2 linked regions of the Astyanax mexicanus genome follow. The protein of the gene in region 2 purifies or fractionates together with the protein of the main gene of each other region. This does not show direct contact. Links are inferred from orthologs where the notes say so. Each region holds a gene or a part of one and is shown on either strand. Other genes may lie near its edges.

Region 1 (6,999 bases), on a different chromosome or scaffold from region 2:
GGAGATTTACCCAATTCATTTAAAGCACAAACTATAGTTAGTTATTCCCTGTCTCTTATTTTTATTTATCATTTTCTTCTTGATAATATCTAAATCTATATTCTCTCCTTCTCTAAATCCTATTTTGCACTCTTTCTCCTTTTTTCTTACCCCTATTTCTCTCTCTCTCTCTGTTACCTGTTATCTCTTCCGTTCTGTCTCCTGTTTTTGCTTTTTCTCCCATTCTTTACTTATCTTATTCTTATTTCTCACTCTTTCTTTAACTCATTTATTTTTCTCTTAGTCTCACTTTCTTTCCCTCTCTTGCCTCCATTCCTCTCTTTTCACTCTCTTTATCATAGCTTTCTTTTACTCATACTTATCTTTATCTTTTATTTATCTCTATTTTAACCTCTAACTTCTGTTTCCCTCCCTCTAATCTCTTCACTAACTCCTCTCTTTCCCTATTTCTTATCTATCTTATTCTTTAATACCATCCCCATTTTCTTCCACAATTTTTATTTCTCTCCTTATTCTCATCTGTATCTCCTATTTCTCTTTCTATTCCCTTCTATAACTCATATTTCTCTTTCTCTATTATTTTTGCTGACTCTCTATTTTTGGTTTCTCTCTATTTCCCCCTCTTACTCTTTATTTTTTCTTTTATATATACTAAATATATAAGTATCAATTCTCTCTATCCTCTTTTCTATCTCCTATTTCTCACTTTTCTCTCTTCTCTAACTTCTTTTTCTTTTTTTTCTCTATATTCTCTTAGCTAATTCTTATTTCTCTTCTCCCCTCTAACTATACGTTTTCTCTGTTTTTTCCCCCTTAAACTCCTGTTTCTCCCTTTATTTTCTCTCTCTCTCTCTGTTCTGTTCTCTTTTTCTACTCTATCTTTTATTCTCCACTTTTCTTTATGTCTTCACCTTCTCACTTTCATCTCACTTTCTCATTTCTGCTGTTCTCCTCATCTTGACCATTTTTTTTCCTTCTCTCTCTCTCTCTCTCTCTCTCTCTCTTACACACACACTCTCTCTCTCTCTCACACACACACTCTCTCTCTCTCTCTTTTCCCCCACAAGAGTCCAATTTAAAATTCCCCCACTGGTGCATAAATAACACAGTTTGTCCTTCATCACCAGAGTCGTACGGAGAGCCGGAACGGTGACGGAGGAAAGGTTGTGGAGGTGGAGGGGGTGGATGATGAGGTGGGGATGGGTGGGGTTATTGGGGGGAAGGGGGGGGGGGGGTATTTTGATCAAGTTAACAGCAGGTCGCTGTCACAGAAACAGATCCACCCAGTGGCATAATGATCCAGCAGCATGCCTTCTATCCCTTAATATTTCCTTTCATTATCTACCTCTCTCTTTCTCCTTCTCTCTTTTACCCTCTGTTTATCCCTCTGTTTTAATCTTTCCCTTCTCTCTCTCCCTCTCCCTCTATCTCTCTTTCTCTCACTCTCTTTCTCTTTTCATTCGTCTCTGGTCTATATCTGTACTGTACTGTATTCGTATCCATCCTTTCTGCAAAACCCACACAGACTGGGTGCAGCTGTACCCACACACAGAGCTGGGTGCACGGATCAGGTTAAAAATGTGGTTGGAAGGTTTGGGTAAAGGTTTGAGTGGAAGGTGCAGGTGGAAGGTTTGAGTGGAAGGTGCGGGTGGAAGGTTTGGGTAAAGGTTTGAGTGGAAGGTGCGGGTGGATGGTTCAGGTTAAAGGTGTGAGGGAATGTTCAGGTGGATGGTGAGATTTGGGTAGAAGGTGCAGTTAGAAGGTTTGGGTGGACGGTTTAGGTGGAAGGTTTGGGTGAAAATTGTTGGTAAAAGGTTTGAGTGGAAGGTTTGGTTAAAGGGATTGGATGAAAGGTTTGGGTAAAGGAATTGGGTGAAACTTTTGGGTGAAAGGTGCAGATAGAAGATGCTGATCACTTTTACAGCGTTTGTTTTTAGGTGAAAGGTGCAGATGGAAGGTTTGGGTGGAAGGTGCAGATAAAAGGTTTGGGTGGAAGGTGAGGGTGGAAGGTTTGAGTGGAAGGTGCGGATGGAAGGTTTGGGTGGAAGGTGAGGGTGGAAGGTTTGAGTGGAAGGTGCGGATGGAAGGTTTGGGTGGAAGGTGCAGATGAAAGGTTTGGGTGGAAGGTTTGGGTGAAAATTGTGGGTAAAAGGTTTGGTGGAAGGCTTGGTTAAAGGGATTGGATGAAAGGTTTGGGTATAGGAATTGAGTGAAACTTTTGGGTGAAAGGTGCAGATAGAAGGTTTGGGTGGAAGGTGCGGATGAAAGGTTTGGGTGGAAGGTGCAGATAGAAAGTTTGGGTGGAAGATGTTGATGAAAGGTTTGGGTGGAAGGTGCGGATAGAAGGTTTGGGTGGAAGGGGCGGATAGAAGGTCTGGGTGGAGGGTTTGGATGGATTGTGTGAATGGAATGTTTGGGTGGAGGGTTCAGGTGAAAGGTGTAAGGTAAATGTGTGGGTGGATGGTGCAATTTAGGTTTAAGCTTTGGGTGGAAGGTGCGGGTAGAAGGTTTGGGTGAAAGATGTGGGTGAAAGGTGTGTTTTTATCTCTGAGTTTAGATCTGAGTTGTGTTCAGTAAACAGACAGATACTGAAACTGTGTTTGTGATGGTGGTGTTTCTGCGGTATGGCTGATCTGCTGATGCTGTAAGATACAGTAGATCATCATCACTGAATCTGTGATTGATCAGTTTACCCTCATACCAAACACAAACACGGCCAAACCATTCAGCTCCAGCTATTTATTCATTTCTAAACGAATTTACTTCAGTTCAAATGCTGATCACTTTTACAGTGTTAGTTTTTAACCCTTTAATACCTGGAGCTTCACTTAATTACCAGAAGATATTTATTAGAAGAAGTTCATTTAATGAATATAATAATGTCTAAAATGTCTATATAAAGTATAAAAAGTTAATAACACATTTTTTTGTTTCGTATAGTAGGATGTGTTGGACACAATAGATTTGAATGTATTTTAATGTATATTAATGTTTTTTCCCTTTTTTGTATGATATCAGATATTGCAGAAATGTAACGCTGAGAACAGGTTTTTAATATAAATATTTGTATATATTTTTAAATGTGTTTAGAACATTGTTTAGAACATGTTTTCATGTATGTTTTTTTATCATAATGTTTTTGTTAGTCTTTATAACTGCACTTAAGGATGCAAAGTTCTTAAAATGTTTCAGACTGACTGACCTTAATTTCTTAAAAGTATTTTTTCTTTATATAATTGAGTAGTTCTTGTCATAATCTGGATTAGAACATTACTCAAATATTCACTATTCACTGTATACCAAATCAACATCTTCACAACTTTAAAACTGATGCTCTCAAAATGATTATAATTAAGAAGTAACTCTTGACAGCACAGCACAGCTGTTAACTGAAAGCCTGAATTCCAGGTGACTCTACCTTATTAAGCTGACTCCAGCCAATTATGTGCAAAACTGTTACCTAAGTAAATGGTGTATAAAACATATTCTGGTATGTTTTTCTTTATTTTAAAATAATGAAAAACATTGTTCATTACATATTAATTAATTTCCTAATTTCTATTTGAGATCATTTATTATTTAATCATTACACTGACGTTCCGGAGGTCTCAAAAACACAGGCACTAAAGGGTTAATCAGGGCAAGTACCACTGATAGCATCCTCCCAGCTCACAGAGGAGCATCTCCATAGACTTTTAATCAGAAGAAGTGATAGAAAACAGCAGCTGCAGCTCCATCTCCGGCTGAATAGAGTGTTTCAGCTTTTATATTAATATTTAAATCCATTAAAACAAGACAAACCCCAAAAATGAGCTTATAGAGCATGCGCTGTGCTGCGCTGTGCTGTAGTGGGTGGATGTGAGGCTGATGGATGGATAAGCGCTGTTTAATCAGGGTATAAAGGTCATTAATGAGCATTATCTCGGTACAGGTGTAACACAGGGAGAGCAGTACCTGTATATCCGCCGCCGCCGCTGCTGTAGATCTGCGGGTAAAGCGCTCCGTGCTGCCCGCGGATCAGACCCGCCGCCCTGCCGCCGCCGCCGCCGCCGCTTCAGTACGAGATGCTCTGAGAAGCGATGCGCTCTGACTCCACCCGTATTCCGGAGGCCACGCCCTCCCTGCGCTGTGATTGGTTCCTTTTTTGTTTCTTTTTTTTCCCTCATTTATTTTATTTACTGAAGAACATGAAAAGGTTTTCCATACATATCAGGGCATTATAACAAATAAACAAATATTAACACCACGTTATATATTCGGTACCACTTTAAAATAAGACTACCTTTATAAAGGGTTTATAAATGGTTTACAATTCGTTTATAAATGGTTACTAATTAGGTTGTAAATGCCTTTAAAAATCATTAATAATCAGTTATAACACATTTGTAAAAAAGGGCAACAATGACCTGTTGTTTGCCAAATAGTGAACCCACAGCCATCAGTGTTGCCCTTTCTAATTATGTGTTATAACTGATTATTAATGATTTTTAAGGCATTTACAACATAATTAGTAACCATTAATAAACTAGGTGTAAACCATTTATAAACCCTTTTTAAGGTAGTCTAATTTTAAAGTGGTACCCTATATTCTATACATATTATGTATAATTTAGTGGTCGTCTATTTCTAGTGCAGTCCTGTTTAATCAGAATGTTTTTAATGGTCTTTGCAACTGCACTTGAGGATACTTTCGTAACTTAAGTTTTTGAAATGCTTCGAATTTACTGACCCTCATTTTAAATAACAAATAAACAAATATTAAGCAAAATTTTCAAGGCTTCACACCAACATATATTATTTTAATATATATTAGGTATAATTTAGTGGTCGTCCTGATGAGAGCCAGTTTCATCATTCTTTGCGACTGCAATTAAGGATACTTTCAAAGTTCTTGAAATGTTTTGAATTAAACGACCTTCATTTCAAATAACAAATAAAGAAATATGAACCAAAAAATACAAATTAAAGCACAGACATGGATTAATATTCAAGGCTTTACACCACCTTTCTCTATGTGTACATGTACTCCATATGAATATGATTGCAGTCCAATTAAAATATCTCCAAAACATCTCCAAAACAGCTACTTTACAGAAAAGAGACAAAATCTTCTTAACTTTGTTTCCGGCCATTTTGGAGAATTTCTATGGGTTTATTTATCAATAAATTTTCACACAGGGTAATGTACAGTTTGTATGTTTAAACAATGTAGTCAGATAAAATATGAATGAAATTGGAGATACTTGTTTTTATTGGACAGTGTTGATCAACATCACCCTAGGTGTGATGAGGAGAAAGAGCCCTATCTACCCACCCAGAGAGAGCAAGGACTATTGGGCTCTCTCGGGGCTCTGGCAGCTGTTGGCAAGCTACATAATCAGGATTCGAACCGGTGATCTCCTGATTATAGTGGTAGAGCTTAGCCCGTTGTGACCTTTCATCTTTTACAAATCATGAAGCTCCCTCCAAAACCTTTTAGATATCTTGCACAGGGAAAAAATGATTCAATGATTCTATATCTGCCTCACAAAAAATACAAACATATAAAATACATTACATACAACTAATTAATTAATTAAAGCTGCCATTGGTTATAATGAATTAAAGCAGTTGGATGTTTTGGAGCGCACTTCAGAGCTCAGTGTTCGCGCCTCCAGCCAACCGCAATACGGGGGGGGGCGGGGCTTGTCGGAAAACGGGCGGAGAAAAAAACAGCAATAATAACCGCTATGAGCCCCGGAATCTGGACCACAGCCCCGGAACATGAATAACAAGAAAAAGAACTGGATAAGGAGTAACATTAAAGAGAGAGAGAGAGAGAGAGAGAGAGAGTCATTAGAGACATTAATCATTAATAAATCATTATTATTTTTACTGTTATTTTTACTATGCACATTCTTTTACTATTACTTATATTTTATATAATTCTTAATGATTTTGTAAACATATTATATTTAAATTATTTAATGTATGTTAATTTCCCAATATATTTACTTATAAAAGCGAGAGAGAGAAGTTAATAAATCATTATTACTTTACTAGTTATCTTTATTATCTTTATATTATTATCTCATATTTAATATAATTCTTTATGATTTTGTAAACCTCTTCTCTTTTTAAATGATTTAATGTAAAATTTGCTAATATATTTACTTATAAAAGAGAGAAAGCGCAAGAGAGAGAACTTAATAAATTATTATTACTTTTACTGTTCAGCTATTAATTTTACTATCCAAATATTATTATCTCATATTTAGTATAATTCTTTATAAATGTATTCTTCTTTTTAAATGATTTAATGTAAAACTTCCCAATATTTTTACTTATAAATAAGAGAGAGAGAGAGAGAGAGAGAGAGAGAGAGAGAGAGAGAGCTAGAGAGGGAAAGTGTCACGGAAGACGGAGGGGTGTGAAGGAGGAGGAGGAGGAGGACGTAAGTGCAAAGAATCTTTTATTAAATAAACAAAACAAAAGAAAACAGATTACATAAACTAAGACTAAGACTGGGGTAAAGACTGGGATACAAACACTAAGATACAAGGCTAGGCTACGAAGGCTAAACACTACAAAACAGGATACAAGGTTAGATATACAGGCTAGGAAACACAAACTAGAAAACACAAAAGACTCGACACAGCACGTACAAACAGAGGGGCTTAAATACAGGAGGAACACCTGGGCAGGGCTGATGAGGGGGCAGGGCTACAGATAAGACACAGGTGAGAACACTGATGGTTAGGGCAGGGCTAAGACGTGACAGATACATAACAGAAACACGTGGCTGTGAACACATGACAGGAAAACAGAGGGGCAGGAGCACTAGGGAACAAATGAGGGAGAAACATAACACAGACATGGGCTAAGGTGTAACATAACCCCCCCTCAACGGCGCCACTTCCAGAGGCGCCGAGAGAGAGGGAACAGGGACTGGACAGGGGACACGAACGGAGACTGGACAGAGGACTGGACAGGGAATGGAAACTGGACAGGAGACGTAGA
Region 2 (6,999 bases):
ACCTTTAATGGAAACAGAACACACAGCTCTATAAGCTGATTTGAGATCACTGAGAGAACCGAGCACCCAGGGCTGCACAACAATTCCTTAATTATCCAATATGTTGACTGGCGGCCTCTGGTCATGCATTCCCAGCTGCCTCACATGGCAACTACATTATGCTTTGACAATCATTGCCACCCATCAGCCTATTATTCGCCGAGCCCTGTCAGAGCGGCTCAATCCGAAACACCCTGATGTTTGGTTTGGTTCCTTTGCATGAAATGCGACATGCGCAGCCTATCCATAACCCTAATGTGACGTCGCATGGCCTCTAAGGTATTACATCCTGTAGGGAAAAACACACACACACGCGCGCGCGCAAGTGTGTTACTGCGCAAGAGGCAGCCTGCTATTACAAGCTGCTCCTCAGTGGTGGCAATGTTTCATAAGCACCTTTCATGCGCACTGTGTTTTTCTGCTTCATGCAAGATGCAGAGCTTTACAGAACGAGATGTCCTAATGCAGAACACCAGCCTAGATGTCCTCAAAGCCAGCAAGCTAGTGGTCAGCCTACCCTCCTTATCTTCTACTCAGCCACCATTTAATTACCCTGCACGTGCAATACCCTACCACACACACACACCTATCCATCCATCCCACTTCCCTGCCTGGCATCGCATCATAATGCCAATGCATTTTTAAAAAAGCCTCTCCAAAGATTCCACAGTTCTCCACACAGGACCTGCAATGCGTATAACCTCGTCCTTCTCACACACTGCCAGCTGCTACAAAATCTTATTTGTCTTTTCTCTTTTTCCTCCTCTCTAGCAACATCACGCCGACCGCACCTCTCTAGCCAAATCAATACGTCAAGCACATAGAAGACACCATTTAAATGGAGAAAGGCTTAACGAAATAGGAACACAGAACATTTCTAAGGTTAAATCTTGCGGTTTCCAGCTAAAAGCTAGAGTTAGCTATCTTACAGCCCTGGGGTGTAGTCTCACTGCTCACCATAGGTGATGGACACCTTAACCAACCATCATTTCAGAGAATTGTGAAAACAAAATCCAGCCAAAGTAAATCCAAATATGATCCAGACATTAAAAAACAAGCATAAACAGTGTGAAAAAACCAATAGATCCAAAAGCTGTTCTTTTATAATGTCAAATTGATGAAGCAAAAATTAATTAGTGGAGAACATGAAATGTAAATTTTCCTAGATAAAAAATAGAGTTTTGCTAGCTTACAGCCCTGAGGTGTAGTCCTTCTACTCAGAATAGACACCTTAACTAACCTGACCAGTAAAAAAATTGACTAAAAGATAGTAGCCAGCTACCATTTCTACATTTAGCTACAAACAAAATACAGGCTTTTGTATCTTATATAAAAATATTTGTTGGAGTGTTGTTTATTCACGTAAGGATCATTCACTATAGAGGGTTGTGTTTTTTATTATGCTGAAGTAGGGCTGTACAATACTGGACAAAATAGATACTGCAATATTTTGTTGGTCTGCGATATGTATTCTACAAATTGTATGGACTTGTGCTGCATTTTAGCGGGACATTTTTTTTTGTGAAAATCGTTTACTTCAGATTTTATTTTTTAAAAATGACGTTTTTTTTATTTTTCATTTATTTTATGCTACCTAATATATGTTGTTTATATAGGTCTAACAATGGTGTTACTATTAGAATTAACATAAAAAATGTATAATGTTAAAATTTGATATATCGTTTGAAAGCTTATAGTAAGGGTCTTAAAATGACAATATCTTTTATCGCGATAATTTCTGAAACGATATATCGTCCACAAAATTCTTAATATGCCAGGCCTATAGTGGGCATACAGCTCTGGAAAAAAAGTTCACTTAAAACGAGGAGTTTCTTTGATTTTATCAAATTGAAAATATCTGGAATACAATCACGAGAAAAATTGATTATTATAAACCATCAACCAGGCTGAACTGCTTAATTTGCACCAGGAGTGACAAAGTTATCCAAAAGCACTGTGTAAGACTGGTGGAGGAAAACATGCCCAGATGCCTGAAAACTGTGATTAAAACCAGGGTTATTCCACCAAATATTGATTTCTGAACTTTTTTAAAACTTTATGAATATGAACCTGTTTTTTTTTTTTTTTTTGCATTATTTGAGGTCTGAAAGCTCTGCACCTTTTTTGTTATTCCAGCCATTTCTCATTTTCTGCAAATAAATGATCAAAATGTCTAAATTACAATTTTTTTATTTGGAATTTGGGAGAAATGTCATCAGGTGTTTATAGAATAAAACAATAATTTTCATTTTGCTCAAACATATACCTATAAATAGATCAATCAAACGGATTAGCAAAAAGTAGCAAAAACTGATTCAGAAACTGAAGTGATCTCTTTTTTTACAGAGCTGTTTATGCCAGAAGAAATTAGGTAACTGATATGATTTAATTTGGTTTATTTGACATTTAACCCTGAAAGGTGATTGGTGCATATCGCCATGGCGATACTGAAATAATAGATATTGCTATATTGCGCAGCCCTATACTTGCTATATTAACCGTGATATATTGTCCTTTTTTAGACTGTAAACTGTCAAGAGACTCATATGAATGCTCATAATTTATAGTAATAAATAAACTATTATTTTTTATTTGATTATTATAAATATTTTCCCAGCTGAAGTCTATTTAGGTTAGCTAATGTTAGTTAACGCTAGGTTAGCTAAGCTAGCATCCAGCCCTTGGGTGTAGTCCCACCCACTGCTCAGGACAGACACCTTACCAACCTGCTATGTTTTCTACATTTAGAAACGAAATACCGACCTCTATATAATTTAGAAAAAATGTGAGGGTCATTTTTCACTCGAAATAGGCTTGCGTAAATTAATGACATTGAAAAACAGCTAAAAAGCTACAAAATGCACAGCAGCATCCATCCAATGTTCGGCTTGGACAACAACCAGGGCATCCTTCAAGGACCCCTCCGACCTCCTTTACTCAGATTTCCTGTCAAATGTAGGCTTATACCGGCTCACACACTCACAATTTAAGCCCATCACTCGGATAGAAAAGCGTAGTTAACCTAGCTGTTAGTTTAGCTAGCGATAAATCTCAGCCGTTAGCCTCAGAGCTCAGCGCTCCGCCGCTTACCTTTAGCTGCCTCCGCCGCCGCAGCAGCAGCGCACAGCACAGCGAGCAGCAGCCCGACCGCAGGGCGCTCCACAGCCCCACACCCGCCGCGAACCCGCATCCCGTCTTCTTCCCAAACGCCGAGGGGCTGAACCAGCGACTACTCTCCCCTTTCCGCCCGAAGACAACGTTTAAACCCGCGCTGCGATGAAAATATCCACAGGATGAGCAGCTAATATCTAAGATGGCTGCCGCCGCCACCGCCGTTCAGCTCTCCGCTACGGACTATCTCTCTCACTCCCTCCCTCCCTCAACCACTCACTCACTGAGTCTCTCTCTCTCCCTCACTCACCCACTCACTGAGTCTCTGTCTCTCACTCACCCACTCACTGAGTCTCTCTCTCTCTCTCTCTCTCTCTCACTCTCTCTCTCTCTCTCTCTCACACACTAAGTCTCTCCCTTTCTCTCTCCCTCACTCACTGAGTCTCTCTCTCTCACTCACCCACTCACTGAGTCTCTCTCTCTCTCTCTCACACTCACTCTCTCTCTCTCTCTCACACACTAAATCTCTCCCTCTCTCTCTCCCTCACTCACTGAGTCTCTCTCTCTCTCTCACACTAAATCTCTTTCTCTCTCTCTCCCTCACTCACTGAGTCTCTCTCTTTCTCTCTCACTCACTGAGTCTCTCTTTCTTTCTCTCTCCCTCTCTCTCGCACTCACTGAATCTCTCTCTCACTCACTGAGTCTCTCTTTCTTTCTCTCTCCCTCTCTCTCGCACTCACTGAATCTCTCTCTCTCACTCACTGAGTCTCTCTCTTTCTCTCTCACTCACTGAGTCTCTCTCTTTCTCTCGCACTCACTGAGGCTCTCTCTCTCCCTCACTCACTGAGTCTCTCTCTCTCCCTCACTCACTGAGTCTCTCTCTCTCTTTCTCTCTCTCACTCTCGCTCACTGAATCTCTCACTCTCGCTCACTGAATCTCTCACTCTCGCTCACGGAATCTCTCACTCTCGCTCACGGAATCTCTCACTCTCACTCACTGAATCTCTCACTCAAATTCAAAATTCAAATTCAAAGTTGCTTTATTAGCATGACAAATATTCACATTTGTATTGCCAAAGCTGTGATTAACAAATATATATATATTCCTGACAAAATTTAACATAAGATAACTGTACAGGTAAATCTGAACACAAGTTTAAGTAAACAATTAAATTAATTATTATAAGAAAAAAAAACATATGATTTATAATAAAGAGTAATAGAATGGTTCTGTACAGCTGTACACTCACTGAATCTCTCACTCTCTCACTGAATCTCTCACTCTCACTCACTGAATCTCTCACTCTCACTCACTGAATCTCTCACTCTCACTCACTGAATCTCTCACTCTCGCTCACTGAATCTCTCACGCTCACTGAATCTCTCACTCTCACTCACTGAATCTCTCACTCTCACTCACTGAATCTCTCACTCTCACTCACTGAATCTCTCACTCTCACTCACTGAATCTCTCACGCTCACTCACTGAATCTCTCACTCTCACTGAATCTCTCACGCTCACTCACTGAATCTCTCACGCTCACTGAATCTCTCACTCTCACTCACTGAATCTCTCACTCTCACTCACTGAATCTCTCACTCTCACTCACTGAATCTCTCACGCTCACTGAATCTCTCACTGACTCTCTTTCACACTCACTGACTCTCTCTTTTACTGACTGACTCTCTCTCTTACATGCAGACACTGCCTCTCTCACACTCACTGAATCTCTCACTCTCTCACTGACTCTCTCACACTTCCTGACTCTCTCTCACACTCTCTGACTCTCTCTCTCTTACTGACTGACTCTCTCTCTTACACTCAGACACTGACTCTCTCACTGACCCTCACTGACTGAATCTCTCTCTCTCTCTCTCTCTCTTTCTCTCTCTCAGTAAAATAAACGAAGATAACAGCATATGACTGGGCTTAATGCCTTTCTGGGAAACTGCCCCTATAAACAAGTAATTAATATGGTATATCAGGTATTTACATGTTTGTATAATTATTGTATTACTGTGGGAGGAGTTTAGTTGAGTATGGGTGAATCATACTTGATGAGTGTTGCTCACCATCCTTCTGGCAGTGGCATGTATATATATATATATATATTCTCTCTCTCTCTCTCTCTCTCTCTCTCTCTCTCTCTCTCTCTCTCAGCTTTGTCCACAGGGAGCTAGCTACGTGCTTGGTGACGTCGCAGCTCTGTTATTGTGGGCACGGTCTGATCTCTCACACAGTCAGAGAGAGAGAGGAAGAAGGAGGGAGGGAGGGAGGGACAGACAGTGCAGGAATAAACGCAGCAGGTGTAATCCGCTCTGCTGATTGTGGTTTGTTTATCAGGTTGTGTGGAGGTCTGTGGCGGTGGCCTGTGACAGTTTAATTCAGTGTGAGGGTAAATGATTAAATGTGGTATAGTCAGGTAAGTCATTCATTTGAATCAGTACTGATTCCACTTTCATTCTTAGTCATTTGTAAAGAACTTGGCTGTGGAATCGATACACATTCACTGTATATGAAGACTGAATGCCTGACACACTTCCCGTGGCTCTCTGGCTCTCTGCAGCAGCTCTTTTATTGTTGTCCTTTTGAACTATAATATCACTGAATACACACTGCTTTATTGCAGCGGCACCAGCACTCACAGGTGGTCATATACAAGAGTGATGAATAAACACTGGATGTAGTCATTAACTTATAGGGGCAGTTTCCCAGACAAGGATTAGACCTAGCCATATACTATATTATAGTATATAGACTAGGTTTGCCAAGTTGCCAGTGTTTAACCTTACCCACAAGATAGCACCTCACAACTTACTTACTTTACTTAATGAACAAGTAAAATACTGATATGTCATGACTTTTGGCACATATTTCATATTTCAGTTTTTTGTATGTAGATGAGTAAACAGTATTTTAAGTCATTTTTTTATTACTGAAATATATATTTTATATATATTGTATTACTTTAATATAATTAATAATTATATTATTAAGCTTCCAAATAATTAGTTTAATTATTTAGTTTTCATATTAAACAGATTTGTTTTTTTTCTTTGTTTGCAAAGCTTGTTTAGATAGATTATCTTTATTGCAATGCAATAAAGCTGCTTAGAGAAGCTCATGTCTGCTGTTTTGATGAAACCGGCTTCGAAGTGTCTGAATATTTACTACAGGACTATATATATTTCTGCTGCTATCTAAAAACGAAAGGCATGCTGCCATGCTGCAAGAGAGTTCCTAAAATAAGACTGGACAGTGAAATATCTCACATTCTCCTGTGGATAATTTATGGTTACTGGAGTCACCTTCACCTCTGCTCTGGTCCTGCTGTGCAGAGCTACAGGGACACATCCATTCTCACCTTGGATCAGAGCTATAGAGGAGCTACTTTGTCAGCTTGGCTGTTTCAGGGCCAGTGGCATATTAATGATTACCAATCTATGATTCTGGAACTGTTCCTGTTATGATGCTTATTGCTTGTGTATAGTAACTGGCCTGTCATCCAAATGCTAAAATCCTATTTTAGGTATGGAATTCTTATTTCCTATGATGCCCTGCGTATTAAAGTCAGGTTATGGAAAGGTACTTTTTTTCTTTAGGCCATGTGTTTCATGAGCTTATCTGAGCACACATTTAAAGACCACTTTTACAGACATTTTTACAACCCCAAATCAGAAGATTTAAGAGCTTTCAAAGTATTTCTGGATTAATACTGCATCACAGTAGTGTACAACTGACACACACCCACACAATGACAGACTCTGGCTTCCAAAATAGATCTGAAATACTGATTCATTTTACCAAAATACATATTTCCACTGTGTAATGTTCCATCCCAGATGCCT

Evidence for each region.
Region 1: the proteins of clstn1 (region 2) and apba2b purify together in Homo sapiens (affinity purification with western blotting; 3 studies listed by BioGRID and IntAct, with this or other methods). This does not show direct contact. The link is inferred for Astyanax mexicanus from reciprocal best matches to the Homo sapiens genes CLSTN1 and APBA2.

Annotation. Positions count from the first base shown.
Region 1 is NC_064430.1:30,493,824-30,500,822, forward strand, and holds the start of apba2b (amyloid-beta A4 precursor protein-binding family A member 2), read right to left. Parts: upstream 4,069-6,999; 5' UTR 3,955-4,068; intron 1-3,954. UniProt on the Homo sapiens protein: Putative function in synaptic vesicle exocytosis by binding to STXBP1, an essential component of the synaptic vesicle exocytotic machinery. May modulate processing of the amyloid-beta precursor protein (APP) and hence formation of APP-beta.
Region 2 is NC_064420.1:40,642,318-40,649,316, reverse strand, and holds the start of clstn1 (calsyntenin-1), read right to left. Parts: upstream 3,362-6,999; 5' UTR 3,230-3,361; coding exon 3,130-3,229; intron 1-3,129. UniProt on the Homo sapiens protein: Postsynaptic adhesion molecule that binds to presynaptic neurexins to mediate both excitatory and inhibitory synapse formation.